Linked DNA regions of Pelodiscus sinensis. The protein of the gene in region 1 purifies or fractionates together with the protein of each later gene. This does not show direct contact. Links are inferred from orthologs where the notes say so. Each region holds a gene or a part of one and is shown in the gene's direction. Other genes may lie near its edges.

What was found. Proteins that work in one complex are often made in the same cells at the same time.
Region 2: the proteins of PPP6C (region 1) and ARHGEF2 purify together in Homo sapiens (affinity purification with mass spectrometry; 4 studies listed by BioGRID and IntAct, with this or other methods). This does not show direct contact. The link is inferred for Pelodiscus sinensis from reciprocal best matches to the Homo sapiens genes PPP6C and ARHGEF2.

What each region holds. Positions count from the first base shown.
Region 1 is NC_134732.1:25,004,974-25,012,976, reverse strand, and holds the start of PPP6C (serine/threonine-protein phosphatase 6 catalytic subunit), read left to right. Parts: upstream 1-4,988; 5' UTR 4,989-5,048; coding exon 5,049-5,123; intron 5,124-5,161; exon of another isoform or gene 5,162-5,364; intron 5,365-7,647; coding exon 7,648-7,743; intron 7,744-8,003. Other genes in the region: RABEPK (rab9 effector protein with kelch motifs), read right to left, coding at 192-250.
Region 2 is NC_134734.1:14,732,492-14,740,106, forward strand, and holds the start of ARHGEF2 (rho guanine nucleotide exchange factor 2), read left to right. Parts: upstream 1-4,600; 5' UTR 4,601-4,615; coding exon 4,616-4,637; intron 4,638-6,928; exon of another isoform or gene 6,929-7,043; intron 7,044-7,615. UniProt on the Homo sapiens protein: Activates Rho-GTPases by promoting the exchange of GDP for GTP.

The sequences.
Region 1 (8,003 bases):
AATACAGTCCCCACACTCTGATCTGAACCCATAGGCTCATCAAAAATGCTAGGAGGAGGATGGGTTATCAGGGTTTAATGGGGGAATCTGACCCACAGACTCCAGTGAGATAACTGGGGTCATAACGCAATAACAAACGACAGTAATGGGAGAGGCTGAGGAGAAATGGGAAAATGCTCAGATGTACTGACCACGTGCCCCTTTGGGGAACATCTCCAGGCTCCAGAATTGGCAAGGCCTTCGGCCTCATGGGTCTTGAGCAAAGGAAGCAAAGCCAGAGTCACATTAAAACCCTCTGGGGCCTGCAGGAAATCTCCCCCCCCCCGATCCCCCCCCCTTGCGGGCAGGGGAATCGCCCCCCCGATTTCCCCCCCCCCCGTGCGGGCAGGGGAATCGCCCCCCCAATTTCCCCCCCCCAGTGCGGGCAGGGGAATCGCCCCCCCCGATTCCCCCCCCAGTGCGGGCAGGGGAATCGCCCCCCCCGATCCCCCCCCCAGTGCGGGCAGGGGAATCTGCCCCCCCGATCCCCCCGCCAGTGCGGGCAGGGGAATCTGCCCCCCCCGATCCCCCCCCCAGTGCGGGCAGGGGAATCGGCCCCCCCGATCCCCCCGCCAGTGCGGGCAGGGGAATCTGCCCCCCCGATCCCCCCCCAGTGCGGGCAGGGGAATCGCCCCCCCCGATTCCCCCCCCCAGGGCGGGCAGGGGAATCTGCCCCCCCCGATTCCCCCCCAGTGCGGGCAGGGGAATCTGCCCCCCCCGATCCCCCCCCCAGTGCGGGCAGGGGAATCTGCCCCCCCGATCCCCCCGCCAGTGCGGGCAGGGGAATCTGCCCCCCCGATCCCCCCCCCCAGTGCGGGCAGGGGAATCTGCCCCCCCGATCCCCCCGCCAGTGCGGGCAGGGGAATCTGCCCCCCCGATCCCCCCCCAGTGCGGGCAGGGGAATCTGCGCCCCCATCCCCCCCCAGTGCGGGCAGGGGAATCTGCGCCCCCATCCCCCCCCAGTGCGGGCAGGGGAATCTGTCCCCCCCCGATCCCCCCCCCCCAGTGCGGGCAGGGGAATCTGTCCCCCCCATCTCCCCCCAGTGCGGGCAGGGGAATCTGCCCCCCCGATTCCCCCCCCAGTGCGGGCAGGGCAATCTGCCCCCCCCATCTCCCCCCAGTGCGGGCAGGGGAATCTGCCCCCCCATCTCCCCCCAGTGCGGGCAGGGGAATCTGCCCCCCCCCGATCCCCTCCCAGTGCAGGCAGGGGAATCTGCCCCCCCATCCCCCCCCAGTGCGGGCAGGGGAATCTGTCCCCCCCCGATCCCCCCCCCAGTGCGGGCAGGGGAATCTGCCCCCCCGATCCCCCCGCCAGTGCGGGCAGGGGAATCTGCCCCCCCCGATCCCCCCCCCAGTGCGGGCAGGGGAATCGGCCCCCCCGATCCCCCCGCCAGTGCGGGCAGGGGAATCTGCCCCCCCGATCCCCCCCCAGTGCGGGCAGGGGAATCGCCCCCCCCGATTCCCCCCCCAGGGCGGGCAGGGGAATCTGCCCCCCCCGATTCCCCCCCAGTGCGGGCAGGGGAATCTGCCCCCCCCGATTCCCCCCCAGTGCGGGCAGGGGAATCTGCCCCCCCCGATCCCCCCCCCAGTGCGGGCAGGGGAATCTGCCCCCCCGATCCCCCCGCCAGTGCGGGCAGGGGAATCTGCCCCCCCGATCCCCCCCCCAGTGCGGGCAGGGGAATCTGCCCCCCCGATCCCCCCGCCAGTGCGGGCAGGGGAATCTGCGCCCCCATCCCCCCCCAGTGCGGGCAGGGGAATCTGCGCCCCCATCCCCCCCCAGTGCGGGCAGGGGAATCTGTCCCCCCCCGATCCCCCCCCCCAGTGCGGGCAGGGGAATCTGTCCCCCCCATCTCCCCCCAGTGCGGGCAGGGGAATCTGCCCCCCCGATTCCCCCCCCAGTGCGGGCAGGGGAATCTGCCCCCCCCATCTCCCCCCAGTGCGGGCAGGGGAATCTGCCCCCCCATCTCCCCCCAGTGCGGGCAGGGGAATCTGCCCCCCCCCGATCCCCTCCCAGTGCAGGCAGGGGAATCTGCCCCCCCATCCCCCCCCAGTGCGGGCAGGGGAATCTGTCCCCCCCCGATCCCCCCCCAGTGCGGGCAGGGGAATCTCCCCCCCCCATCTCCCCCCAGTGCGGGCAGGGGAATCTGCCCCCCCCGATCCCCTCCCAGTGCGGGCAGGGGAATCTGCCCCCCCCGATCCCCCCCCAGTGCGGGCAGGGGAATCTGTCCCCCCCCATCCCCCCCCCCAGTGCGGGCAGGGGAATCTGTCCCCCCCCATCCCCCCCCCGTGCGGGCAGGGGAATCTGCCCCCCCCGATCCCCCCCCAGTGCGGGCAGGGGAATCTGCCCCCCCGATCCCCCCCCAGTGCGGGCAGGGGAATCTGCGCCCCCATCCCCCCCAGTGCGGGCAGGGGAATCTGTCCCCCCCCGATCCCCCCCCCCAGTGCGGGCAGGGGAATCTGTCCCCCCCCGATCCCCCCCCCAGTGCGGGCAGGGGAATCTGTCCCCCCCATCTCCCCCCAGTGCGGGCAGGGGAATCTGCCCCCCCGATCCCCTCCCAGTGCAGGCAGGGGAATCTGCCCCCCCATCCCCCCCCAGTGCGGGCAGGGGAATCTGTCCCCCCCGATCCCCCCCCAGTGCGGGCAGGGGAATCTGCCCCCCCCGATCCCCCCCCAGTGCGGGCAGGGGAATCTGCCCCCCCCATCTCCCCCCAGTGCGGGCAGGGGAATCTGCCCCCCCATCTCCCCCCAGTGCGGGCAGGGGAATCTGCCCCCCCATCTCCCCCCAGTGCGGGCAGGGGAATCTGCCCCCCCCGATCCCCCCCCAGTGCGGGCAGGGGAATCTGCCCCCCCCCGATCCCCCCCCAGTGCGGGCAGGGGAATCTGTCCCCCCCCATCCCCCCCCCCAGTGCGGGCAGGGGAATCTGCCCCCCCCGATCCCCCCTCCAGTGCGGGCAGGGGAATCTGCCCCCCCCGATCCCCCCCCAGTGCGGGCAGGGGAATCTGCCCCCCCGATCCCCTCCCAGTGCGGGCAGGGGAATCTGCCCCCCCATCCCCCCCCAGTGCGGGCAGGGGAATCTGTCCCCCCCCGATCCCCCCCCAGTGCGGGCAGGGGAATCTGTCCCCCCCCATCCCCCCCCCCAGTGCGGGCAGGGGAATCTGCCCCCCCCGATCCCCCCCCCCAGTGCGGGCAGGGGAATCTGCCCCCCCCGATCCCCCCCCCCAGTGCGGGCAGGGGAATCTGCCCCCCCCGATCCCCCCCCCCAGTGCGGGCAGGGGAATCTGCCCCCCCCAGTGCGGGCAGGGGAATCTGCCCCCCCCGATCCCCCCCCAGTGCGGGCAGGGGAATCTGCCCCCCCGATCCCCCCCCAGTGCGGGCAGGGGAATCTGCCCCCCCCGATCCCCTCCCAGTGCGGGCAGGGGAATCTGCCCCCCCCCGATCCCCTCCCAGTGCGGGCAGGGGAATCTGCCCCCCCCGATCCCCCCCCCAGTGCGGGCAGGGGAATCTGCCCCCCCCGATCCCCCCCCCAGTGCGGGCAGGGGAATCTGCCCCCCCATCCCCCCCCAGTGCGGGCAGGGGAATCTGCCCCCCCCGATCCCCCCCCAGTGCGGGCAGGGGAATCTGCCCCCCCCGATCCCCCCCCAGTGCGGGCAGGGGAATCTGCCCCCCGATCCCCCCCAGTGCGGGCAGGGGAATCTGCCCCCCCCGATCCCCCCCCAGTGCGGGCAGGGGAATCTGCCCCCCCCGATCCCCCCCCCAGTGCGGGCAGGGGAATCTGCGCCCCCATCCCCCCCAGTGCGGGCAGGGGAATCTGTCCCCCCCCGATCCCCCCCCCCAGTGCGGGCAGGGGAATCTGCCCCCCCCATCCCCCCCCCAGTGCGGGCAGGGGAATCTGCCCCCCCCATCCCCCCCCCAGTGCGGGCAGGGGAATCTGCCCCCCCCCCGATCCTCCCCCCAGTGCGGGCAGGGGAATCTGCCCCACCCGATCCCCCCCCAGTGCGGGCAGGGGAATCTGCCCCCCCCATCCCCCCCCCCAGTGCGGGCAGGGGAATCTGCCCCCCCCCGATCCCCCCCCAGTGCGGGCAGGGGAATCTGCCCCCCCCATCCCCCCCCCAGTGCGGGCAGGGGAATCTGCCCCCCCCCCGATCCTCCCCCCAGTGCGGGCAGGGGAATCTGCCCCCCCCCCATCCCCCCCCCAGTGCGGGCAGGGGAATCTGCCCCCCCCCATCCCCCCCCCAGTGCGGGCAGGGGAATCTGCCCCCCCCCGATCCTCCCCCCAGTGCGGGCAGGGGAATCTGCCCCCCCCCATCCCCCCCCCAGTGCGGGCAGGGGAATCTGCCCCCCCCCCGATCCTCCCCCCAGTGCGGGCAGGGGAATCTGCCCCCCCCCATCCCCCCCCCAGTGCGGGCAGGGGAATCTGCCCCCCCCCGATCCTCCCCCCAGTGCGGGCAGGGGAATCCGCCCCCCCCGATCCCCCCCCAGTGCGGGCAGGGGAATCCGCCCCCCCCGATCCCCCCCCCAGTGCGGGCAGGGGAATCCGCCCCCCCCCGATCCCCCCCCAGTGCGGGCAGGGGAATCGCCCCCCCCCGGCGGGCGCTGCGCAGGCGGAGGAGCGGCCGCCTGGATCGGCCCCGGCCCGTTGGGCCCCCCCGGCCCGGCCCCCCCGCTCACCGCCGCGGGGCGGGGAACCCGGAGCCGCTTCACAGCGCCGCCCCGCCCCCCGCGCGGCCAGCGCGCTGCCCGGCATGCCCCGCGGCTCCCGGCATGCTTTGCGCCGCGCGCCAGGGGCTGAGGCAGAGCGCGCGGGGCGCGGAGGCGAAGGCACCTGCCCGCTGGAAGGCTGTGGGGGCGGGGCGCTTCCGCTTCTGGCCCCCGGGTCGCTCAGGCTGACCGACTTCCGGCCTCCCGCCCCGGAAGTGCCCCTCGTTTCCGGCCCGTCGCCGCGGTAGTGGGGCTCGGCCGCCCCCGGAAGTCGCCGGCTCCCGTTTCCGGCCCCGGCTGCTCGGCTAAGATGGCGCCTCTGGACCTGGATAAGTACGTTGAGATCGCGCGGCTCTGCAAGTACCTGCCCGAGAACGACCTCAAGGTGAGCGCGGGCGGGGCCCCGCGGGCTGCGGGAGGCGCCTCCCCGGCCGGCCTGCCCCGGGCAGCAACGCGCTGGCCCCGCCCTGGAGAGAGACCGGCAGCTCCCCAGGGTGCAAGGAAGCGGGGCCGGCGGGGAGCCCGAGCGGACGGGGGCTCTTCAGCTTGGGAACGCGCTGCGGGACCCCGAGTCTGCACCGCCAGACTGACAGCGGAGCCCCCAGGGAAGCGTCACTTACTCCCAGGCAAGAACCAGCGGCCACCACAGGAACTGATAGGCAGCAGGTTTAAGACAAAAGGGAGTATTTTTATACACAACCTGTGGAACTCCTTGCCAGAGGGTGTTGTGCAGGCGAAGGTGATAATGGTTCAAAGTTTAGGAGGACAGGTCCATCAATGGCTGTTAGCCAGGGTAGTCAGGAATGGTGCCCTTAGCCTCTGTTTGCCAGAAGCTGGGAATGAACAACAGGAGATGGATTGTTCAATGATTATGAGTAAACTTAACAAATAGTCTTGCAGCACTTTATAGACTAACAAAACCTGTAGATGGTATCATGAGCTTTTGTGGGCACAACCCACTTTTTCAGATGATTATGTTACTGTCTGTTCCCACTGAATTCACCTGGCCACTGGCTGTAGTCAGAAGATGTGATAGTGGGCTAAATGAACCTTTGGTTTGACCCAGTAGGGCTGTTATTATGGTAAAAGACAGTAGTTTTTGTTCTGCAGATGCTTTTTTTTTTCTTCAGATCTGGGAAAAATACTCAGAGGGCTACTAAAATCTCTACAATGGGATAGCTGCACTATTGCAGCTATGCAACTGTAGTACCTCTGGTGAGGATACTGTGATGTTAATGGGAGAGGTGGCATAATAAAACCACACTGGTGCTTACAAGAGCTTCAGGGGGTAGCTGAGTTAGTCTGTTACAGAAAAAAACAACAAATGGTCTGGTAGCACTTTATAGGCTAACACAACATGTTGATGGGATCATGAGCTTTCGTGGGCACAGCCCACTTCTTCAGATGACTGGAGTTATGAGTAGGGGATATGAAAACTTGAAATAAATAGGAGGGGGGGAGAAAAAAAGAAAAAGGGAAGGGTGTGTGACACAGAGCATCATTAAGTATCTGGAGAATGGGTACTTAAACCTAAGTACATCTTACAGTGTAACTTATATCACATGTTGTTCATACCCCCAGCGACACAAATTATACCAACACCAGTGGTAATGCCTACAAGCCCACAGTGTCACAGTTAACAAGTAGGTGGGAACAGCTTGTTTAACATAAGTAGTAGATAAACACTGCGGGAGACCATTAAAAGTGAACTGATCCATTAATCATTGTATATTGAGAGTCCTGCAAAAATAAGTATGCGGTACTCTTTCCCTCTACGAGTTAGTGGAGTCAGCATGCCTGAATGTGTGAGGGGGATTCTTTTCTTTTTTGTACATCATCAGTGGAATTGTTTTCTAAGTTTTAGTGAGCTATACCTGTGAACCACCTGTGAAGAACATGGCACTGTTCATGGGGTTGCACAGGCGTAAGTGAGACTTTAGTTATTGATCGGTGAGTGAGCAGGAAAGAATCCAGTTTGAGTCTCTGATCTCAGGATGAGTTTTAGGTTTTGCAGTTTTGCAGATGGAAATTAACTTTTTTCCTTGTTAGCTGAGCATATCTAATACAGAAACCATTGATAAAATAAACATGAAATAAAGTGGCAATCTGACTTTCAAATTTTAGAGCAAAACTGCAATTTAATATAGCATTTAAATAACCTAAGATGCACTCATTCTGTGAACTGTTGCTCTATTCATTGAGACACACTTAATTTTAAAAAAATGTTTAGCTAGTAACGGATTTTCTTACATATTTATTATCATCCCAAGCAGTGTTCCCTGTATGATGTGCATGTGCATCTGCTCAGGGGTGATTAATATGTTGCCCAGCTGACTAGCAGAGCGCTCATGCCTAGGTTTTGTTTCTATCAGTGGTGCACATTAAGATTGTAAGAGTGTATGTGTTTTAACAGGTAATCCAAATGACTGCACATAGCTCCCAGTCTGGATTCTGGGGAGCTGCTTGCTGCCCTGCACTGCTGCCTCTATCAGAGACAGCAGCATAGGGTGGTGGGGGGAACAGGTATGCGCAGGGAGCGGCTTAAGTCAACTCCCAGAGAGCCACCTACCACCCTATGCTGCCTCCTGGCGCGCTGGCTGCTGCCCTGTGTGTAACCACTGAACATTTCAGTGGTTACACATGTCAATTACATGTGCTGTGCACTAAGGGATGTTAAATTTGCACATGCCTGGGAGCCCATACAAATTTTATTCTGCACATTAATGAAAAAAATCCACACATAGATAGAAAAAATTAGAGGGAACATTGATCCCAATTCATTTGATCATGATCATGGTGTCTAGAGACTTGAATACATTCTAAAGCAAATAATTTATAAATCTGTTATTTCTTGATATTACAATGCACAAAAACCTCAGCCTGATCAGTGTAAACTTCTTTTTCTGTAGCGCTTATGTGATTATGTGTGTGACCTGCTGCTTGAAGAGTCAAATGTACAGCCAGTATCTACGCCAGTTACAGTTTGTGGAGACATACATGGACAGGTAAAGTGGCGCAACTGCTTGCATGTTATATTCCTAGAGAAGAGCAGTCTGTCACTTGCAAACATTTTTAGAAAGGTAGATGGTGAGGAGTATTTTAAATATGTGGTTGGGGAAGCAGAACTAACTACTGAACGTTCAATAATTTGCAATATTCTGTGTGCACTGCTTTTGCACAGTGGAAGGAAAACCTACTGTTTATAATTTTCCCGTAGTGTACTTTTGGGAGGCCAACCTCACAGAATAAGAAGAGCTGCAGAACG
Region 2 (7,615 bases), on another chromosome or scaffold:
CCACAACCACTTCAGAAATTTGTGAAGCGGCCCCACTTCAAAAATGGGTGTTATGGGGAATTTTGCTATTGACTTTAACAGGGTCAGAATTTCGCCACTAGCATTGATTGAAAGAGCTCTCCCCACCTGAAACATTGCAGCTTCCAGACAATAGTACTTCCCATGTTCAAATTCTTGGCATTCCAAAAGCTGCCCAGTAGGTAGCTGGGAGGGTTAGATTTGCCTTGGCAAATGTCAATAGCTGTTGATTTCACCGAACCCAAGGAGGACAAAATATTTCCATCAAGAATATTTGAAATGGACAGCTAGGCAAAGTGAGAAAAATGCTTCTGGGGAGAATTTTACCTTAATCATATTTACCATGCAACCAGCCGTTCTGCGGCACCTGAGAGACTAACAAATCTATTGGATCATGAGCTTCCGTGGGAAAAACCCACTTCCTCAGATACTTAACAGTGTAGTCAATTAACTGATAAGCAAAAACTGATAGGTTAATGCTATAGTATGCACATTTCCCTTCCCTCCCTCTCCTCTCCCCCTCCCCCTGCTGCCCTGCCCCTGACAGGGCTGGATTATCCAATAGGCAGACTAAGCATGTGTTTAGGGCACCAGCAAAGCAGGAGCACCAAAAAAAAAAAAAAGAGAGAGAGAGAGAGATTGTTACGGTATAGTATTGTTTTTATTTTGAATTACATATGGGGAGGCACCATAATCTTTTCAGTGCTTAGGGCCTCTAAAGGGCTTAATCCGGCCCTGCCTGGCTAGTAAACTTTCTTAGCAGGCTGGCCAGCAGCCTGGCTCAGTCCTGGCTTGCAATGGGTCCGGGATCTACCCCTGCTGCAGCTCTGCATTTAAAGTGTATTAGGAGCCGGGCAGGCAGGCAGCCTGGCTCAGTTCAGGCTTGTGCTGAGTCCAGGAGCTCAAACTGCCCTAGACAGGGGCTGCTGCCACTCCGCACTGCTGCCTTTTTGTCCATGGCTGCAGCACGGGGTGACAGGCAGCCGGTCTGTGAGGGGAGCTGGTTTTTAAGCTGTCTCCCCTCTTGAGCCAGCTCCCACTTGGCACCCTGCACTGCTGCCTCGGATACAGAGGCAGCAGCACGGAGTGAAGCCGGAGCCCACTGGCTGCTGGCCCCGCCCCCGGGGACTATAGAATAGTCGAGTAACAGATAAGAATTCATGAGGTTACTCAACTATCCAATTAACCAATATTTAACATCCCTTATTCTTGCTCTGTGTATCTTTAGTGTGTGGTGTTGACAACTTGTGTTTGTCTCAGCATTTGCTGTCATTCAGTCATTGTCTGTCCCTTATCCCCATTAATCCCTGAAACTGTGAAAATTGAAATATCTCAAGATGGGGGGATGCTTAAAACCCATAATTTGGCACAACTCTGAAGATTTGCATTGATAAAAATGACACACTGATATTATTGGTTGGCATACACGTTGAATCCTGCCAAGCCTACCAATAAAATATTTATCACTTGGGTTCTTTTTAAATTCCTTGTCATTTTCTCTCTATAAATCCAAGGGCTACAGAAGAAGGAAGTGCAGGCATCTCCCACATGTTACGAGGCTGTAACTCTCATCACGAGAGTGACAGGAGAGCTTGTAAATGGCCAGTGCAAGGCTGGAACGGTTTCTTCCTGTTCCGTTTGGGAGGCTTTGTTGAAGGTGAATGAGGAAACAGATCACAGCTTAATGTCTAATAGTAATAGAGATGTAGCGGTGTTAGTCTGGTCTTGCTGAAACAAAAGACAAAAAAGTGCTGCATAGTCCTGTCTTTTGTTTCAGCTTAATGTCTGTGCCAGGAAAGATAATGGAGCAGGCAATTAAGGAATTAATCTGTAAACACCTGGAAGATAATAAGGTGATAGGTAACAGCATGGATTTGTAAAGAACAAATCCCGTCAAACCAATCTGATAGCTTTCTTTGATAGGATATCAAGTCTTGTGGAAAAGGGGGAAGCAGTGGACGTGGTATACCCAGACTCTAGTACAGGGAGTCCCCGAGTTACGTGGATCCGACTTATGTCGGATCCCTACATACGAACGGGGCTTTTCTCACCCTGGAGGACGCGGGCGGCGGGACCGCCCAGACGCACCGCGGTCCCACTGCCCGTGTCCTCCGCGGCGAGAAAAGCTGCTCCGCGTCTCCCTGGTCTGCCGGCTTTGCTCCGCGTCTCCCCCAGCAGATTAGGGAGACGCGGAGTGGCTTTTCTCACCTGGTCCGCGGCGAGAAAAGCCTGGTCTGCTGGGAGGGGGGTGCACTAGCTGCGCCCCCCCAGCAGACCAGGGAGACGCGGGCGGCGGGACCGCCGAGACGCGCCGCGGTCCTGCCGCCTGCGTCCTCTGCAGCTTTGATCCGCGTCTCCCTGGTCTGCTGGGGGGGGGGGGCGCAGCTAGTGCGCCCCCCCCAGCAGACTAGGCTTTTCTCGCCGATGCCTGGGGTAGAGCAGCTGGGGTGCTGCCGGGTTGGTCCCGCAGCGCCGCTCCTCGGCGCTACTGGACCAACCCGGCAGCACTCCAGCTGCTCTGCCCCAGGGGTCCCCAAGTCAGCCGCTGCTGAAACTGACCAGCGGCTGACTACAGGAAGCCCAAGGCAGAGCAGCTCTGCCTCGGGCTTCCTGTAGCCAGCCGCTGGTCAGTTTCAACAGCGGCTGAATCTGGACGCCAGTTCCGACTTACATACAAATTCAACTTAAGAACAAACCTATAGTCCCTATATTCTGCGTAACCTGGGGACTGCCTGTAAAGCGTTTCATACGGTTTCACATGACCTTCTTATCAAAATGGTTCACAGTCATGCTGGAAATGCATAGCAGGTGGGGTTCCAAAGGGGTCAGTTTTGGGATAAATTCTGTTCAATATCTTCATCAGTAGTTTAGATACTGGTATAGACAGTATGCTTATAAAGCTTGCAAATGCTACCAAGTTGGGTGTGGTTGCAGGTGCTTTGGAGAATAGGGTCATAATTCAAAATAATCTGGAGAAATGGTCTGAGGTAAATAGCATGAAGTTCAATAAGGACAATTGCAAAGTGCTCCACTTAGGAAGGAGTTCTGCAGAAAGGGAACTTGGGGTCATAGTGGGCCACTAGCTAAATGTGAGTCAACTGTGTGACACTGTTGCAAGAAAAAGCTAACATGATTCTGGGATGCATTAACAGGAGTGTTATGAGAAAGACACGAAAGTCGTTCTTCTGCTCAACTCTGTGCTGATTAGGCCTCAGTTGGAGTATTGTATCCAGTTCTGGGCACCACATTTCAGGAAAGATGTGGAGAAATTGGAGAAGGTCCAGAGAAGAACAACAAAAAAGGATTAATGGTCTAGAAAACGTGGTCTAGGAGGGACGACTGAAAGAACTGGGATTATTTAGTTTGGAAAGGAGAAGACTGAGAGGGGACATGATAGCAACTTTCAGGTACCTAAAAGGATGTTTCAAAGGGGAGGGAGAAAAATTATTCTTCTTAACCTCTGAGGATAGAACAAGAAGCAATGGGCTTAAATTGCAGCAAGGGAGGTTTAGGTTGGACATTAGGAAAAAGTTACTGTCACATGATTAAGTGTTAGCATAAATTGCCTAGGGAGGTTGTGGAATCTCCATCATTGGAGATATTTAAGAACAGGTTGGCCAGACATGTATCAGGGATGATCTAGATGGTGCTTGGTTGGTCCTGCCATGAGTGCAGGGGCCTGGACGTGATCTCTAGAGGTCCCTTCCAGTTCTAGGATTCGGTGGGTGGAAGGGGAGGTATGACCTGCAGTAGTGAGAGGAGGAGGCTGGGAGCCAGGATACTGGTTCTAACTCGACTCCAGAAGGGAAGTGTTGCCTACTGGGCAGAGCAAAGTTAGGGCATGTCTAATTGAAATGGCTCATTTGAACATTCTGAGACTATGGTTAGTTTTCAGACTGGAGTCAGAAAATTGGGGAAGGCTTCTAATTTTAGGCAAGTGATGAGGGCTCCCTTGCAAAGTGAGCGCTGGCGCATAGTGGGTATGAGTCTGTAACCCCCCCCCTCCCCCCGCGCTAGGGTGGCTTGGCTGTTTAGCTCCCACTTTAAACGCTTGCAGGCCCTAGTTTGATCCCTGGTGCCAAGCTGGTGGCCATTCCATGCACACACACACATACTTCCTATCAGCGGTTGTCCAGTTCCTGGGACTTTCTTCCCTGGACCACTGGGTCCCTGTTCATGGGAATCTGGTCCCATTCTAGAGGAGATCTGGAATACAGGGGAATCCCCAGCCTAGTCAGATCCAGCTAGTGTCTCATCTCCAACAGCGACCTATAGTGGCACATGTGGGGAGGGGGGTGTTCTATCCACTCACAATTGGTCCCATCCTGATTTCGAAGAGAACTTGGGCCAGGCTTGGGAGCCGTTGGCTGTTCCAACTCTGGTCCGTAGTCTGAGCCCTTGATGTCTCTCTCCAGCCTCCTAAATCCCTCTTCTCCACCCCTCCCCCACCCCGGGCATTTTTGTGCGTGCGCCTGTTCCTCCCCCTCTCAGCAGCTTTGCTCTCAAGCCTGTTTACATTCCCCAGCCGCACACGCAGTGCCATGCGGGGTAGGACGTGCTTGTCTGAGCTCCCTTCCGAGTCCTGTTCTGAACTAGAATGACTGTCGCTTCTACTAAAGGTACAGGCAGGAGGCACGCAGGGCCGGGCAGGGCCGCGCTGTTCTTAGTTACTTGTTTTGATCAGTTTTAGAAGGAGGCCACGTGGGCTTGGGGGTAGGGTCCTCGGTGGGGAGTTGTGATGTAGCGGGAACTGTATTCACTCTTGCAGTTGCTGAAAGTCACTGTATTCATGCTGTTTGCTTTGTTGGGTCATGTGTGATTCTACTGTCCTATGCTGTTCTGGAGTGATGGTGGGGGGATGTGTGTGTGCGTGTGTGCCTCAGTTTCCCTGGGCAGTTCAACATTGCCTGGAATGGGGGGGGGGGGGGAGCATGACTCACTGAAGAAGTGAATTTGGTCTCACACCTGAGAGCCAGGTGATAGGAGATAACACCTTTGCTGGGGAATCGGAACAAAGGAGGGGGCGGGGCTGCCTAGAAGGCTGAGACCAGTTGCTGGGTGTGTGAGTTTAGTTTTCTGCTGCTGTAGGGAGGAGGGAGTGTAGCTGGCTTGGGGGGCTCTGGGCCCCCTCGTCCCTAAGATGGATTGTACTGAAAGCTCCTGGTTCCTGTAACAAGTCTGCTATGCCGTGTCCCTGTCAACAAATACACCTTCTGTTCTACTTGTTGGCTGAGTCTCACATCTGACTGCGGATGGGGGTGCAGGGCTCGGTAACTACCCCACACTCTGTGACAGGAGTGAAGCTGCATTCCTGGCTCTAGGAGAGGTGTGGGGCCTGCCTGTTAGAGCAGGTGACTTGACGCCAGGACTCTTGTGTTCTGTTTGTGGCAGTGACAGAGAAGTATATGACTGGAAGCCAGGACTCTTGGATTCCCTGCTCTGCCACTGATTTTCCTAGATGACCTTTAGCAAGTCATTTCCTCTCCCTTTGCCTTAATCTCCCCATATGTAGCCCCCCTCCACCTCACTGTCCTCCAACCTAGCCAAAACAATATTTGATCCTCCCCTGGGGGGAGAAGGTGAGAGAGAGAAAAAACCATGGCAGCTAGCTGCTAGGTTGCTTAATTCACTCCTAGAAGGAGCTGACATGCAATTGGGCAGAGGAAGGTACTTGGATTGCAGTCTTTTTGGGGCAGGGGCTGTCATTTCATACAGGGGGTGTCTGTGTTTACAATGGGGTCTCAGGCATGACTGGGGTTCCTAGGTGCTCCAAAAATTAAAATAGTAAGAGAAGGCACAATAACTTCTGTAGAGTCTAATAGAAGAGAGCTGTCTTTCCCCACCCCCACCCCCAAAGAGGATTTGAGGGGAGCTAATTCAGTGCTCTGAGCTCCTCATTTGGTAGTACAATTTCTTTTCGGTCTCTCTCCAGCAGAGCCACCCACCACAATGAATTCCACCGCTTGAGCTAAGAGAGTCGCTCTGCTCCCTGGCAGCAGTAGTAAACCATTATCCTCCATCACAGCAGCCTCCGGATGGGGACACAGCACACATGTAGTCATGCCAGCCCTGCCGGGGGAAGCAAGCCTTGCTTTGCTTTGCAGTCACTGGCCTGATTCTGAGATGGGCACTGGCTTCCTGGAAGGGTTGTCTAGGGAAAGGGAGACTGGCCTGTCCACCCAAGCTGGAATCCTGTTGTCTTGTATACTTCCGCTAGGTTTCCATGGGCTACCGCCCCCTGCCCTCAGCTCCTCGCTGGCTCAGGCCAGCATGCTGAGTGGTGACATAGGCTTTCCCCCAGGGCTCCTAGAGCAGTGTTTCTCCCAGTGGGCTGTGGGCCGGCTTTGGGAAAGCCGCTAGTGGGCCTGCGCTGCTTTGTTTACCTAAATGCTCCGTAGCTCATGGCTCCGGTTCGATGTTTCCAGCCAAAGGGGAGTCCTAGTTCCCTGCTCTAACCACTAAACAATCCACACATCCCAGAGCTGAGGGTAGACCCCAGGAGTCCTGTTTCCAGATCCATCCCCTGTTACACTCCCCTATATTGACAAGAGGGCTAAATTTACCAGGAATCCTGACTCCCAGCCCTCCATTTTGGCCTAAGTCACACTCCCCTTCCAGAGTTGGGACTGGATTCCAGTCTTCCCTCCCCCAAGCTTGAATTGCTAGACGCCTCTTCCTGGGAATGGATGCCAGGTCTCCCTGTCCCACCCCGCCTTTAACCACTAGCTCATACTCCCCTCCCGTTGTTGGCCCATCCCTACATATGGACAATTGGTAACTGGCCTAGGACAATTCAATCAAGAGCTGTCAGCAGCTAACGGGCCGAAGGGGCGGAAAGTTCTTATCAGCTGACAGCGTCTGGGAACTCGAAAACAGGAAAGCGTCTGAGTTCATCCCGTTGGACCGGGGCGGTAGCTAGGAAGTTTGTACAGCAGGGGAGAAACAGGAGCTGGCAGGCTGGCCGCGAGCGCGGAAGGCATCCAAGCAGAGACGGGAACAGGTCTTTCCAACAGCAGGTGCAGAGGGTGAGTCTGGGGCAGCTAGAATGAGGTGGGGCTGATCCCCCAGAGAGGTGAATGCACAGTAGGGCCTGGGGCGGGATGGGCCTGCTTTGGCACTTTGGTTCTTTGATTGGGGATGAGCAGGGCTGGTAGGCATGGCGCTGAAGCTGGGCAGCATGATCTAGTGGAGAGGGAATTGGGCCGAGTCTCAGCAAGGCTGGGTTCTATTCCTGGCGCTGCCACTGACCTGCTGCTTGACCTTGGGCAAGTCACTTCCCCTCTCTGCGCCACAGTTTCCATCTTGCCCTGTCTGTTTTAGATTGGCCCCAATTGGAACAGCTTACAATATTTCCTCTAATCTTTTCCATGTGCAGAATATTTTTTTATTTGCACCAAGGCATGTGCAAATGTGCACCACCAATAGAAACAAAAAGCTTAACTGTGCGCACTCTGCTAATTGGCTGGGCAGCATTTGAATCTCTCCCGAGCGGCTGCACAAGTGCCCAGCTGCCTGGGATTTCAATTCTTGGCTCTGCCACAGGCTCTTTGTGCAACCCTGGGCAAATCACTTAGTTTATGTCTAGTGAGTGGATGTG